3 linked regions of the Tribolium castaneum genome follow. The main gene of each other region encodes a partner of the protein of the gene in region 2 in a complex. Links are inferred from orthologs where the notes say so. Each region holds a gene or a part of one and is shown on either strand. Other genes may lie near its edges. The genes, in order: gry, brun and trafficking protein particle complex subunit 12.

Region 1 (4,500 bases), on a different chromosome or scaffold from region 2:
ACTTTTTTCGAGTGTTTGAGTGCAAAAAACCTTATTTGTTATAATTCTGTCAACTTAGATCCTTCATTTTTTATGCGGGGTTATTCTTTGAAAACGGCAAGGGCTTCACAATTTTTACTTATGGCCCCATTTCAGAAATTAAATGAATTATTTTAATTACTTCACATGTGTGGTGAAAAAATTTTCGGAATATTATCTTTTATTCCCTGCTTTTTGACGAACGTCATTGTGTTATTTGATACCGTACAACTAGAATTTATTAACTTTTATTCATTTTCTTCAAATCTGATAAGTTTTTTAAGCAATATTTTTTTGTACAAGTAGAACTTACCACTCGTATTTGTACCAAAAAACTGTTATCTTCCATTTTATGAAAAGAAAAATGTAGGTTCCAATTTAAAAAATAGCCCAAAATACACTATAATATTTAGAAAAAATGTAAAAGTATTAGATCATACTACATTAGAAGCCACTTCATTATTTTTAATTTTTGAAATCGGAACTATAAATAAAAATTCTACAGCCGATTTTTTAGTCACCCTGTATTAAACAAAAATTAATATAACGAGCAGTGCGAGGTTTTTCGCTTCAAACCTGTCTCATTTATACAAGGTGATTCTGCTAAAAGTACAATATTACTCAAATGTCAAAAACTAATATGTAATTAATTAATCAGTTATCACATAAAAATTAGCATTTTTATTATTATTTTATTATTACTTTTATTAAATACGTATTTTACCTTTTTTCTCTGTGCATATGAATTTTTTCAAATATTTTCTAGAATTCCTTACTATAAATTTCAATAAATTAAAAATATTAGTATTGAAAATATTAAAATATTCACTAATCGAGATTTCATAATTCCACATACTACCTACAAAAAATATATTTTATATAATTTTTAATTTTTATTTAAATATTTTTTGGCGTAGCGATACTTAAGCATTAGTTATTTTTTATGGCATTGGAAATAATATACGGAATAATAATTTCTTACAGCGACAATATTAGATAATTTATTAATCAATTAGTTAATCTTAATTACGAACAAACAACTGTAGAAAAATTCTGAAAAAATCACATGTAGTTATAGATACATTGAGAATAAGTTATTTTATTAAATGATAGAAACAAGACTAAAGTATTTATACCAATCGCTGAATTTCGTGCGATGATTAGTTTTTGAGATACACTTTTATTAGACTCACCTTGTAGATTTTTTAATGCTTATTACAACGGTGTTTTGCAATAGTTCATTTAATTTCGCTGTTTGTAATTTGAAAAATTATTTTTAGTCATAGTGTTTTGTACAGTAATAAGGATAATTTTATATTAATCGCCGTTTAAAAAAAGTTAAAAATTCTAATATAAAAAACTTTAAACGCATTTTTCTCGAGATCAACAGACCTGACGCTAAAAAAATTAAAAACCGCCTGAAATCTCTGTGGTTAGAATCTGCTTTTAATTTTCTATCGAAAAACTAGAACCCGGAGAAAATCGGATTATAATTTCGGCTACAGGATCTTTTTTTTTTATTTTTAAAATAAAAAAATTGCTACTCAAATCTCTAACAGTCTTAGGAGAAATGCGTTTGTAGTCAGTAATTTCGAAAAAATTGTCCGAAGACTTAAAAAAATTTTTTTTTCCTTACGGAACACAACTCCTGGCACGACTTTTTCCGGAGAATGGCGTACTGCGCAGCTTGCTGGTAGTAAATCCCCGGATGTTGGGTCTGGACAGCCGGTAATCCCAACTTCACGGCTTCATCAAAAATATCACCAAAAACGGAAAACCTAAACAAATAATGATTTCCCCACCAAATTAAACCACTCACTGTTTCGACAGCCAGGCGTAGTGTTCAAAACTCAATTCGTGAAAACCCATTCGATTTTTAAAGCGATCAATGTGGGCTTTAAACTGCGAAATGGCATCACGTGGTAAATTCAACGCAAACATCAACTTGCACAACTTGTAATTAATGAAACCAGCCACGGTCCTGATCTCTAACGCGTTCGTGTCCACCACCCGAATTTCCAATAAATAATTATACGCATGAGTGTAATGTCTACAAATTAATTAATTGAAAGAAAGTTGCAAAAGGACGTAAATGAAGTACTTGTGAGCCGTATGAACGTCCTGTTTGAGTTCATACAGAAACCCCATCTTGAACTGATGTCTCACGAATAAATACTGATGCGAACTCTTGTTCAAGTGTTCTTTATGCGACCTGATGGTTTTAATTTCATTGTGGTAATAACTCTGGGCGAACTCGTAGAAAGCGAAAGCGCTCTCCAGTCGCACAGCATACCCCTGGAGATGGTCCCCGTGGGGCAAAACAAACAATGAACTGGCGTTCAATTCGCAACTAGCGCATAAACTAACAGCGCGGTCAGAGGCCAGGACGTCCTCTCCAGGAGGCAAAGGAAGAGTGTTCTGGATCAGGACCACAGCTATGCGCGTGTTGCGCCCCTCCAGCGCTGCCCTTTTGGAAAAATGTAAATTTTACCCCCCAACAGAAAAAACGCACCTCAAGGACTGCACTCGAGAGGCGCATTCGATCATCTTCTCGTTCCACAAACTGTCATTCCAGTCCAAGTCGTAGAAAATCACAATCACTGCCGGGATCTCGTACAGGTGTTTGTTCATCCAGTTGCGCTTCAGAATCCCCTTTGGAATGTACCAGTCGTAGGAGTTGCGTTTTGGCTTAATTACGGGGAATTCGTGGGCATTGCTGATTAGTTTAAAGAAGACTGGGGACCGGTCAGCCCGCCTGTTATTGCTAAACGTCTCCCAGATTGATTTGTGGACCGCATTGTTGAGGGTGTCTAGTCCAGACACTCCTACCAGAGCCAGAGGCTTGGCGCACAATTCTGGCGGAAGATCGGAAGTGTTTTGGATGTAGGACTGCATTCTAAGTTATTTAGTTCACAATGTCTGCATACTTGAGTGAAAAAATCAAAAATTCGTATTTTTTGGCCGAACTGACATAACCACAAACGTCATGTTGTTGTGACGTTTCTCGCAAGGTGCTTCTGGATTTGTGTGAAGACAGCTCCCCAAACCAGCTCCTCGAATTCCGAAGAAACCCGACATGAAGCCAGTTTCACACTAGCAAAATACGTTTCAATTTGCGTAGATGTATGTTTGGTTGTCAGCGTTGAAACCGTTTAATAAAATAAAATCCGAAAAACACTAAACACCCTCTTAAAAATGACATTTTAAGAAAGTCACTGTGCTAATAGCGAAAAACTCAATTATTTACCACAAATTGCTTCTTAATTTTTCCCACTTTTTCACCTAATTTCAATAATTATAGCTCCGCAAATGCACTATTGCAGTTTTCGCCCATTTCACCGACCTAATCGGTTTTTCTCACATGCCCTTTTGACCACCAATTCAACAATAAAAAAGACGTTTTTCAAAAATAAAATTATGGCCTTTTAGTTGTCGGAACAATGTTAAAAAAATTTATCTTGTCCAGCTCCGCAAATGCACTATTGCAGTTTTCGCCACATTTCACCCCGAAATCGGTTTTGTCACACAATGCCCTTTTGACCACCAATTCAACAATAAAAAAGACGTTTTATTTAGAGTTTAGTTTAATCCCAAATAACTCGAGAACGGTACAGTTTTGACGACATGAAGCAAGAGTACCTTTTTTATTAAAAAATAATTGGGCTTTTGATTTTTGACATCAAAAATACGTGTTTATAGGCCGAAAAATTGAGTTATCACCTAAAAACTGGAAGGGCCCTCTTGTCACCGGAAATGTATAGCTTTTACAAGATTTCCATTTACACATATCAAAGGGCGTCTTTGTGTCTCTTGGCATGCAAAATTTCATAATAATCGCATGAACGGTAACAAAAATATTTTCAAAAAACCATTTTTCCATACCAATTTTTGAAAAATTGTAATTTTTCTTAATTGTAGAGGGGTATTCGTGGTTAAAATTATGCCACACATTTTTGAATCACCCGATATTATCAAGTTATTATCTAACCAAGTTTCAGTGAATGTGTGTAGAGAACAAAAGAATTATCTAGATTTATCTACAGGCTGCTCACAAACTGGCGCACCAACGCAGTGGTACGTTGTTGAGAAGCACGTGTAGATCACGGGAAAAATGTTAAAAAAATTCCTAAAGTCATATTTTAAAAATCTTGAGCTACAAACTTATTGTGTTAACTTCTTTAGTTATCATTATTTTTTTATATTTCTATGTTTCATACCAGGTAATCGTCCGTAACAAAACGATGAATAATTATTTTTAAATTTACTATCAGATTTTAGCAGTTTTTTTAATTAAAAAAAAATTAAAATTCATCCAAAAAATCACAATGTGTAGATGTGCCAACACTGGGAATTATTTCCTAGGAAACCGTTTCAAAAATAATTTATTTTTATTGTTGATCAAATTCTATTGCGATCATGACTGTTAGACAACGTTGCCACATATCATTTATCTAAAATTAGTTATTTATCAATAACTTTAAT
Region 2 (4,480 bases):
AGCTCGAATTAACATTTCTGTGAAAACTGCTACTAGTTGGTGAATTCAGTCGCGAGGGTAACGAGCCCGGGCCTGAAATACTGCTACTGAAAACGCCACTGCTGAATTCATTTCCTGTGCCTCCCGGGACGAGAAAACTCCCAGCGGCGTACAAATACAACGTCAGACTAGCCGAACAATTCGGTTTTAGGGGCAATTGACTTAGGAGGTTCTCCTGCGACCAAGTGAACATCTGTTCTTGGAGGGCCGGTTCCAGGACCGTCTGCATCGAAACTTCGAGCATCTCCACGTCAACATGCCCGATATTTGTGATGGTGACTGTGCATTCGGCGCTTTCGCCGTGGTGGAGACTCACACTGGCTGAGGTTACGACGTTTTCGTAGTCGTGGAATGAGGAGAAGGAGGCGCTTTGAGGGAGCGATGTTTTCACCTCGAGTAAGGGAAGGGATGGGACGATTTCGACCTCGTAATGGGGTGGAAACCCGTTCATGTGTCTCAACCGACAGTTGGATTTGACGCCAAGGGTGTGCGTGCTGTAGCCTTGGAGTTGGAGCTGGCCTTCGCTTTCGCGCGGCGTGCCATGGAGGGTCGTAACAGATGGGGGAGCCCCCGACGGTGATAAAACCACAGTTTCGGGGAGTGACTCAAACACGACACCTGATGTCAACAAACGCATGTCCGAAACCTTCAACTCGAAGGGCAGGGGGTTGGACAGCTTGAGGGTGACTTCGCAAGGCTCGTTCTCCACCCACAAAAATGCTACAATTTTTTTTAATCAAGCAATCGTGTGTATCAAATTCCCTACCCATTTTAGTTTGACTCGCTGTGCTCCTCCGATCCAAACTCCCAAAATGAATTGGAGTGAACAAAAACGGCCCCGTGTCCTGCTTTACAGCCTGTATTTTCCGCGGCTGTAAATGGGGCTGCAAGTTCCTCAAAACAAAAGAATGGCAAAGTGGAATATTGGTCAAGTTGGCCGGTGGTATAACAACGCCACTGTCCAACACCAAGGGCACCGGTGACCCTTCACATTGCGCCGATAAGGCCTAAAATAATCTTGATTATGTTATTCCCCTAAAAAAAACGTACTTGTAACTGTATCGCCAGTTCTTTCTGCTCAGTCGGCGTCAAATGCTGCCACATTGTTTGCAACAAAAACGTCATGTGGCGAGTCGCCAACGCCGAATGCCCCATTCTTTTCGCCGCCACCACCAGTTCTTGTAACAATTGAATTTGTAGAATTGGCCACCCTTGTTCAACCTCCCTCATTTCGGCCGGATCTAAAGATAGGCGATGGCCGGGAAGGCTGTGGAGCATGAGGTTATAGCAGCGGTTCCAATTGGGGGCGGGATTTTGGGGCGAGACGTATCTGGTGGCGGCGAGCCGTTGGCAGAAGGCGGCTTTACGCGTGAAACCAATTTGCGTATAAAGTTCGGCCAAGGTCTCAAAACGCTGGATTTTTTCCTGCTCTGAGAGCGTTAAATTGATGTAGACCACGTTTTGTAGAAACGAGGCGGCTTGAAGTGAGTGGTTTTGCTCAACAGCGATGCGGGCGGCCTTAAAACTCGCCTCAGTCTCGACTATCCCTAAATGAAACTTGGCAAGGTATGCAACCAACTATACACAACTCACCCGCATTTTGATACTTGCTGTAGTGAATAATCGCCTCCCGATACCTCTTCGAGATATCCTCGGGGGCTAGTGTGTTGGGCACGGAGGCTTTCTTCGCCCCCACGTCAAGATTACTCGCGACTACTGTTTTTTTCGGCGAGGAACCCTCTTGCAAACTGGCGTTACGTTGCAATTGCACACTTCGCTGCATCTCGGGGTACAAAACTAGAGCAGAAGCGGCACACAAACCCTCATAGGCGGCCCCCAGCCACAACCAATCGTTGACACTCTTCAACGTCTCGGCTGCATTGCCGTAATAAACCAGGCTTTCGGCCAGCAGCCCCGCTTGCAGACACAAATCGCCCAAGTGTTTGGTCATCCGGCCTGTGCATTTTTTCTTGTTGTTGCGCGACTCCATGTCGAGCCCCACGAAGTCCTTTTTCTCAAAGGGGGCGAGCAGGAGGGAGACCCGTTCGAGCTTTTCGCGCGAGCGTTCGAGTCGTTTGGACTCAAGCACCCAAAACAGCGAATTGATGAATTCGATTATTTGGGTTTCGAGGTCAGCACACGGGGCGCTCTCGTCGTAGAAGAGCCCCCGTGTCTTGAAGTTGCTAGGCGTTGTGAACTTCTCGATGTTCTCCTCGGGGGCGCTGCTGCTGCTGTCGGTGTTGGGGCTCGAGGTGTCTTCCGGCGAGCTGCTCGCCTCCTTCGTGGGGCCGAACAAAATGCAGCGCGAATCGAATAACGTGCCGGTGTATTTGACTTTGAGACTCTCGTGGACGCGGCATATTTCATTGAGCTCTTGCTGGGAGTCGTATTTTCCCAGAGAGACGAGACCTAAGAGTCGTCGGTGGGTTTGGAAGTCGCCCCAATCGTTGTTTTCAACGGGGTGTTCCTTCACATAACGGACTAGAATCGTGCGGACGTTTCCCGTCGAGTCGGTGATGCGGACTGAGGTGAGTTTGGCGATACGGTCGTGGAATTTTTGGAATGTTTTGGGCTTTAGTTGGGAGCCTATGTGTCGTACGAGCACCAGGAGAGCAGCGTGGTCATGGGAGTATTGTTCGTAGTCGGGGTGAGACATGTTTGGCTCGCTGGTACTACTCGAAAGGATGTAACTTACCGAAGAACGCATTTGTGAGGCCTGGGGATCACCTACATTTCAAACTTCGCCCCCCGAATAAAACGCACTCTTTGGCCGTAAATAATTACCTGATCATTGCTTTACGCCTCTGAGGGGCCTGTTCTTGCGCAAATCACTCTTTTTACACTTAAACTACGTTTAGGGTCAGCAATTTGACACTTCACGACATCAACATAACCTATGAGAGTAAGAGATAGTTTTATGCAGCCAAGTTCACACCAGGAAAATTATCAAAATAATCGTAAAAACATCAATAAGCTGTTACGCTGATTTGCATATCACATTGGTAGAACATCTCCTGACCATTCAAATGTGTTTCTATTACAAATTAAAACATGACTGTATTTAATTTCTGCATTTTTTATTCTCATGTTCAAGCAATGCAAACTGATTTTTTTCACCCCCTTTATATCCTGCAATTTTCTTTGTTTTTGCAGGAGATTAAGCCCTCCGATAGGGCCTTCGACTGTAAAAAAATCATGTTCGGACACCCGAACCCCTTGGGACCTTAATGAATTTTTAAAGATTCTTTAAGATTTCCCGATTTCGCAAACTGTATTTTTTTAACTGTAGCTGAAAGCGTAAAAAACGCCTAGATTGTGGTTAATTAACAAGGCAAGGGTCGGGTCAGGTCAGGCCAATAAAAACCGTTTCATAATACTTTATTAATCGAATACTCACTTTTAAACTTAATCTAAATGTAAAATATATCATTCTCCATACGCGACTTAATTAATAGTAACTAAAGGTTTGCTCATCAATTTCGCATTAGGTTTGTAGGATTTTTTAACCGCTGCCTTGTCCTCTCTCCTCCCCAAGGGAATAAGTCTCATGGCCTCCATCTGCAAGTTCAACGACCGATAAAAATCCAAAACATTTTTATTGGCCCAGACTTGCGAGGCCTTAAACCCTAAAACCCTCAGCGTGTCTAAACTTTGGGCCCTACTTAACGCAACATAAGCTTGACCGGCTTCAAACACCTTTCCTAGCGACATTTCAACACAATCTAACGTCAAACCTTGGGACTTGTGAATGGAAAAAGCCCACGCTAGTTTAAGGGGCACCTGTTTCCTCGTGAGCATAACACCGGTGGCGCTTTTGACGCACCAGCGCTCAGGCTTTGCGACATATTCTTTGCTACGGAATTGCACAACGGGAACACCTTCTTGGAAGGATTTGACGACTCCACGAGCGCCGTTCACGAGCCCCGTGGCGATGTTTATGTTTTTCAAAAGCATCACCTGCGCACCGACCTGCAAAAAAACAAACTTTGAATATTAAAAAACTGTGTTAATTATTTCCAAAAAAATCGTGAATAATGGATAAAAACCTTCAATTCGAGCGTGTGCGGGATGGAGGTTTGCTGATCCAACTGCTTGATAAGATGCGGGTGTGAGTCTTCGGACGTAAAGACGAGTTTTTCGCCCGGCAGTGCGTTAAGTTTCGCTTCGTTAATCGCGTTCGCTTCCAGCGTGTGCGAGCACAACCTCGTGGCCAAAATCCCGTTCTTTTCGATATTCTGTCGCGACGTTTCGGCCAATCTCGTCGCCATATCTTCAGGAATTTGTCCAATGCGCACACAATTCAAGATTTTGATAAACTCGTCGTCGTTTTGCCGGTGGACTTTTTTCAGTTCATACGCCGACAATCGGCACCGACTCCAGGCCTCCGTCTCGAAACAGAACTTGACTGGAGTTTTGCCTTTGGCCACCGGAGGCAATTGGA
Region 3 (4,567 bases), on a different chromosome or scaffold from region 2:
AAGACGCGATAGAAACTGTGATAGGAGGCAACGCATATTCCCAAAATAAAGTCAATGACTGGACGACTTCGGTCGTGGAATGTTGCACATCAGAATTGACGAAATTGATGAAACCATACAAGTACATCGTGACCTGTACCATAATGCAGAAGAACGGGGCCGGTTTGCACACCGCTAGTTCGTGCTATTGGGATAATAACACGGATGGGAGCTGCACCGTGCGTTGGGAGAACAAGACCATGTTCTGCATTGTATCAGTATATGGATTAGCTATTTAAATATTTCAACAAGTAATTACAGTCATGGATTTGCCTTTCAAGAATAATTTATCGTATTTATAAGTTTCTACTTGATAGTGATTGTTACGTATTAATAAAGTCATTTTTTTATTTGGATTTTGTCATATTATTTACATTTGAAACTACAGTTGTTAGCTGTTTCAAAAATATAAAAACGCCAACGTCGCATTCTCTCTCAAAATTAGCTGTTATATTATTCATGCATTTCAAAAAAATAACAGCTTTGTTCGCGGTAGCGATCCTGAACTAGTTCCAGCTCTAGTACGCTGAATCCCGGATCGGTTCAGAATTAGTCCCAACGATCCTGGGACTCGACGAAGGATTTTTAGTTCTAGACGTGCGCAGTTGAAAGCGGTTTTGTCTCTGTTACTCTCATGTCTTTGAATATTTTTGAGATTGGAATCAATATAAATAAACTGTCTGTTTTGATTACCGGAATTTAGTTAATACTTTACTAAATCGTAATTATTTGTATATAAAATAATGTTTGTAAATTTGAAAATGGGTTGTTTTCTACAATTTATACCTTTTCGTTTTAGGTTTTTCGAATAACTCATTTCTAACTTTGTTCAAATTTTTGTAGCTTGTTAGTTTTTAAACATTTGTTGTGTACTTGACAACGATAAATTATCGTTTGCGGTTGACTAAAATCCATAACTGGTTCAGAACCGCACATGCGCTGTAAATAAATCCTGGACTACTTCAGAATTAGTTCTAAAAATCCTCCGCGAACAAAGCTAATAAATAGCTAATACAATTTCTTCTTTCAATGAGAGATCTTAGCATTCATAACTATTTTACAGTTTTATCAGTCTTATGTAAAAAGATAATTCGGTAAAATGTGACGTTGCTTTTTAATTAAGCTGTATAAAAATGTAAAATAGTTATTAAAGATTAGATCCCTCATTGAAACTACGGACTGTTTATAAAAGAGTGTTGGCTCTCAGGTGGTTCTGTAATTTAAATTTGCCGCATTTAATTATTTTATTACTATCAAATTTCTGAAAAGTACCAGTAAAACTAACATTGTTCGTTTTTTCTTGAACAAAACGGCAAACTTCTGAAACCTACTACGATCCTACATTCATTTATAGACAGATTGTATAAATTACATTAGCTATTAATTTTTTGAAGGGCATGAATAATTTAGAACAGTTAATTTCGAGGGAAAATGCGACGTTGGTGTTAATAATAGAAATAGAAATTCGCGCCATAAACCCATTTCAAGTTTTTCTACGATTGGCTACAGTGGATGTCAATGTCACTAATAAAAAAGTCACTCGCAAATGTCAATAAACGAACGTAAACAGACTTTCGTCGTATTTATTTATTATAAGTTCGTGTAAAGATCGAGGTATTTAGTGAATAATTGCTAGACATGTCGGAAAGCGTGCCCCCGTCCTTGAGTCAATACTTCGGCGAAAAAACCGACGATAAAGTAAAGACAATAGACCTATCCGAAGAACTAAATGAAGCTTCCACAAAAATAACCGATCTTAAACTAGATGACAATCTCCCAAGTGCTAAGAAAAACGAACCAGAAGTGTGTCGAATATTCGCCGAAACGCCACCACAAGCCAAAGATCAGACGACGTCATTCTTCGATTTAATTGGAAACAACCACAGCGTTACCTCCAACGGCTTGATATCAAACCTCGACATAACGCCAAACAACGACGTGAGTGACCTAATTGTGTGTTCCACAGTTTGGTAAATTTTTCTAGGACGGTTTTTGCCCCAGAGTGGCACTAGGCTCGGAAGCAGACCGCAGGAGAGATGCCTGGATACCTAGCGAGAGGACCAGACAATGTCTCATTGCGTGCGCCACGGCAGCCCCCGGTACGTATTTTCCAGACAGGGAGCTCCTCACCATGCCTGGGGTCCTGCTAGAAGAGGATTTGGTATGTTTGCTAAATAGTCAAAGGGGGAAAATTAAACTTATTTAAAAAGGGGGACAATATCGGGGAAGCAGTCACCTTGTGTCTTGGGGAGGCCGAAGCCGCGCAACGAAGTATCTTGTCCGAAAGCGACGTAACGCAGGACGAAAGGGGACTGAGAGAGTTAGTACAAGCGGGTTCATACCGAGCCGCAATTAATTTAACTGCGAGACTTTTAACCATTTACGGCCAGGGTCGGGGCCGCGCGGGCCATCCTAGCAAACATTCGCCCCATTCGTTACAGCTGTGGTTCACTCGTATCGCCCTTCTAGTCAAAATCAAAGCCTTTGCAGTTGCTCAATCGGAAGCTGCCCCTTTTGGTCAGCTCGACAAGCCGGACGTTTTCTACCAGGTCTCTAGCCACAAATCACCTTCGACCACTTACCGCAATTTTACAGTTTTACCCCGAGATGTATGGGGGCCGTCCAGGCTCCATCGCTTCATTTTCATTTCGTTTACTCTTAAGCGAACTGCCAATGCATTGCGGTAAACCCAAAGACTCGTTAACAAAGCTGTACAGTATGAAGTCCACGATAAAACAAATGTTGGATAACTTGAAACAGGGCTTGAGCGAGGACGGCAGCCCTATCGAAATTAGTGAGTCGGATCGCACCGATTCGATTCGACTTTGGACGGGGCGCGAGACTCGAGTCATGCACTCTATTGTTAATTGTGCCCTGGCCTTGAAAGATTATGAATTGGCAATGGTGATGATGGAAGAGTTGTGTCACAGGTGAAAAATAGGCGAGGGAAGAAAGTTTCTAATGGTGGGTTTAAGGGATGGGACGGCACGTCATATGTTGTATTCGGCGTTAGGAAGGTTGAGACTGCAAGTGGGCGACGTGGCAGGGGCGGAGACTTGTTTTGATGAAGCAAGGGCTTTGAGGGGTAACACGACGGATTTGAGGGAGTATGTGGATCGGGGGTTGCTCGCTGTGGCGCAGAATTCGTTTGATGAGGCCTATGTCTGCTTCCAGCAAGCCAGTCTCCTGGACCCCACAAATGTTATGGTAAAGTTTTTTTTTTGGTCCCTACGTATTAGCGCCAATGGTGTATGTAGATTCACAAAAACAATTCCATGTTATTCCAATTCGTTCCAATTATTTTCAAAAATGTACACCTAATAAAAAAGTATTACTAAGAAAAAAGAAGCGGCCGAATTTCGAGTGGCATTCGAAAAAGTTAGCAATAGACCTGTTATATTTTCAATAGTGAGTTATCTTTAGAGTCAAATAACTCTGAATTTACCTAAACTTAATGCTCGACTTAATATTAGTTAAATAATGACGGTTCTTTGAATTACTACCTTAGGTCTGAGTTACAAAAATTCTAAGTTAACTTAACAGAGGTTATTTCGAAGTTGTTTTTTTTTTGGCTTTAATCTGAAGTTTCTTTTTAACTCGAAATTAACTCGACATTGTCCTACTTTACCTAAGATTCTAATAAACTATGTTACTTAACAAAAAATCATTGAACGTATATTAATAATGTGATAATTATTGTTGAATAAAATTTTTCGAAATTTCTTTTGTTTTCGAGTGATGCAAAATTTTATTTATTTATTTTTTTAATGGTTAAGTTCAGAGTAAAACCTTCGCAAAACACTGGTTTGAAAACATTATTGGATTAAAAGTAATTTTTAATCTTTAACCAAAAAAATCGTCCTACCTTTAAAAACAAATAAATACGGTTTCGCATAACTAGAAAACTAAAAGGAAAATTTTATTCTTTAAAAATTATCCACAATTTTAACAGATTTGGTAGGTGATGATCATATTCTAAATTCTATTTTTTTCCATAAAGTAAATAGTTATAGAAAGTCGATTCAAGCTTTTTTGTCATTTGAAACTTTTCGCCGTATTAGAGGAAATATTGTAGAACGAGTTTTTAGCTGAAAATAGCGTAACTTTCGACCATGGAAGGCCCTTTCGACATGATATTGTAATTTTTTTTTGGGCGTGTTATTAACTTCTTTTAGGGAATTTATGCGAAATAAGTGAGTTTTTTTTTGGCTGAAAAAAGTACTAAAACCCTCGAAAAATTACATTATTATTTATTATTATTTATTATTTCTTCTGTTGTGCAAAATTTAATTTTTACACTTTTGGTTTATAAGTGTGCTCAAGCATTTGGGAACAGCAAAAATAATAATAATTTTATTAAAAGTACTAAGATTTCAAAAAAATGTAGGTGGTGATATGGTTATGCACTAGTGTATTTTTGTTAATATCTTCATGTTAATAATACCCACATTATTTGGTTTTGATAACTTAGATTATTATTTATTTTATCAATAAAAACGAAAACAAAAAACAAAACTTGCTGTGTGAA

Evidence for each region.
Region 1: brun (region 2) and gry share a complex: the UniProt entries of both Homo sapiens proteins name them as parts of the multisubunit TRAPP (transport protein particle) complex. The link is inferred for Tribolium castaneum from reciprocal best matches to the Homo sapiens genes TRAPPC9 and TRAPPC11.
Region 3: brun (region 2) and trafficking protein particle complex subunit 12 share a complex: the UniProt entries of both Homo sapiens proteins name them as parts of the multisubunit TRAPP (transport protein particle) complex. The link is inferred for Tribolium castaneum from reciprocal best matches to the Homo sapiens genes TRAPPC9 and TRAPPC12.

The regions. Positions count from the first base shown.
Region 1 is NC_087395.1:23,286,840-23,291,339, reverse strand, and holds the start of gry (trafficking protein particle complex subunit 11), read right to left. Parts: upstream 3,053-4,500; 5' UTR 2,914-3,052; coding exon 2,531-2,913; intron 2,486-2,530; coding exon 2,120-2,485; intron 2,069-2,119; coding exon 1,838-2,068; intron 1,797-1,837; coding exon 1,655-1,796; intron 1-1,654. UniProt on the Homo sapiens protein: Involved in endoplasmic reticulum to Golgi apparatus trafficking at a very early stage.
Region 2 is NC_087399.1:3,381,753-3,386,232, reverse strand, and holds the start of brun (protein brunelleschi), read right to left. Parts: upstream 2,976-4,480; 5' UTR 2,824-2,975; intron 2,779-2,823; 5' UTR 2,747-2,778; coding exon 1,633-2,746; intron 1,587-1,632; coding exon 1,090-1,586; intron 1,047-1,089; coding exon 806-1,046; intron 760-805; coding exon 1-759. Other genes in the region: ATP-dependent DNA helicase PIF1, read right to left, coding at 3,484-4,008, 4,086-4,480. UniProt on the Homo sapiens protein: Functions as an activator of NF-kappa-B through increased phosphorylation of the IKK complex. May function in neuronal cells differentiation. May play a role in vesicular transport from endoplasmic reticulum to Golgi.
Region 3 is NC_087396.1:17,554,022-17,558,588, reverse strand, and holds the start of trafficking protein particle complex subunit 12, read left to right. Parts: upstream 1-1,539; 5' UTR 1,540-1,677; coding exon 1,678-1,977; intron 1,978-2,023; coding exon 2,024-2,200; intron 2,201-2,249; coding exon 2,250-2,588; intron 2,589-2,634; coding exon 2,635-2,969; intron 2,970-3,014; coding exon 3,015-3,246; intron 3,247-4,567. Other genes in the region: Dlc90F (dynein light chain Tctex-type), read left to right, coding at 1-278. UniProt on the Homo sapiens protein: Component of the TRAPP complex, which is involved in endoplasmic reticulum to Golgi apparatus trafficking at a very early stage.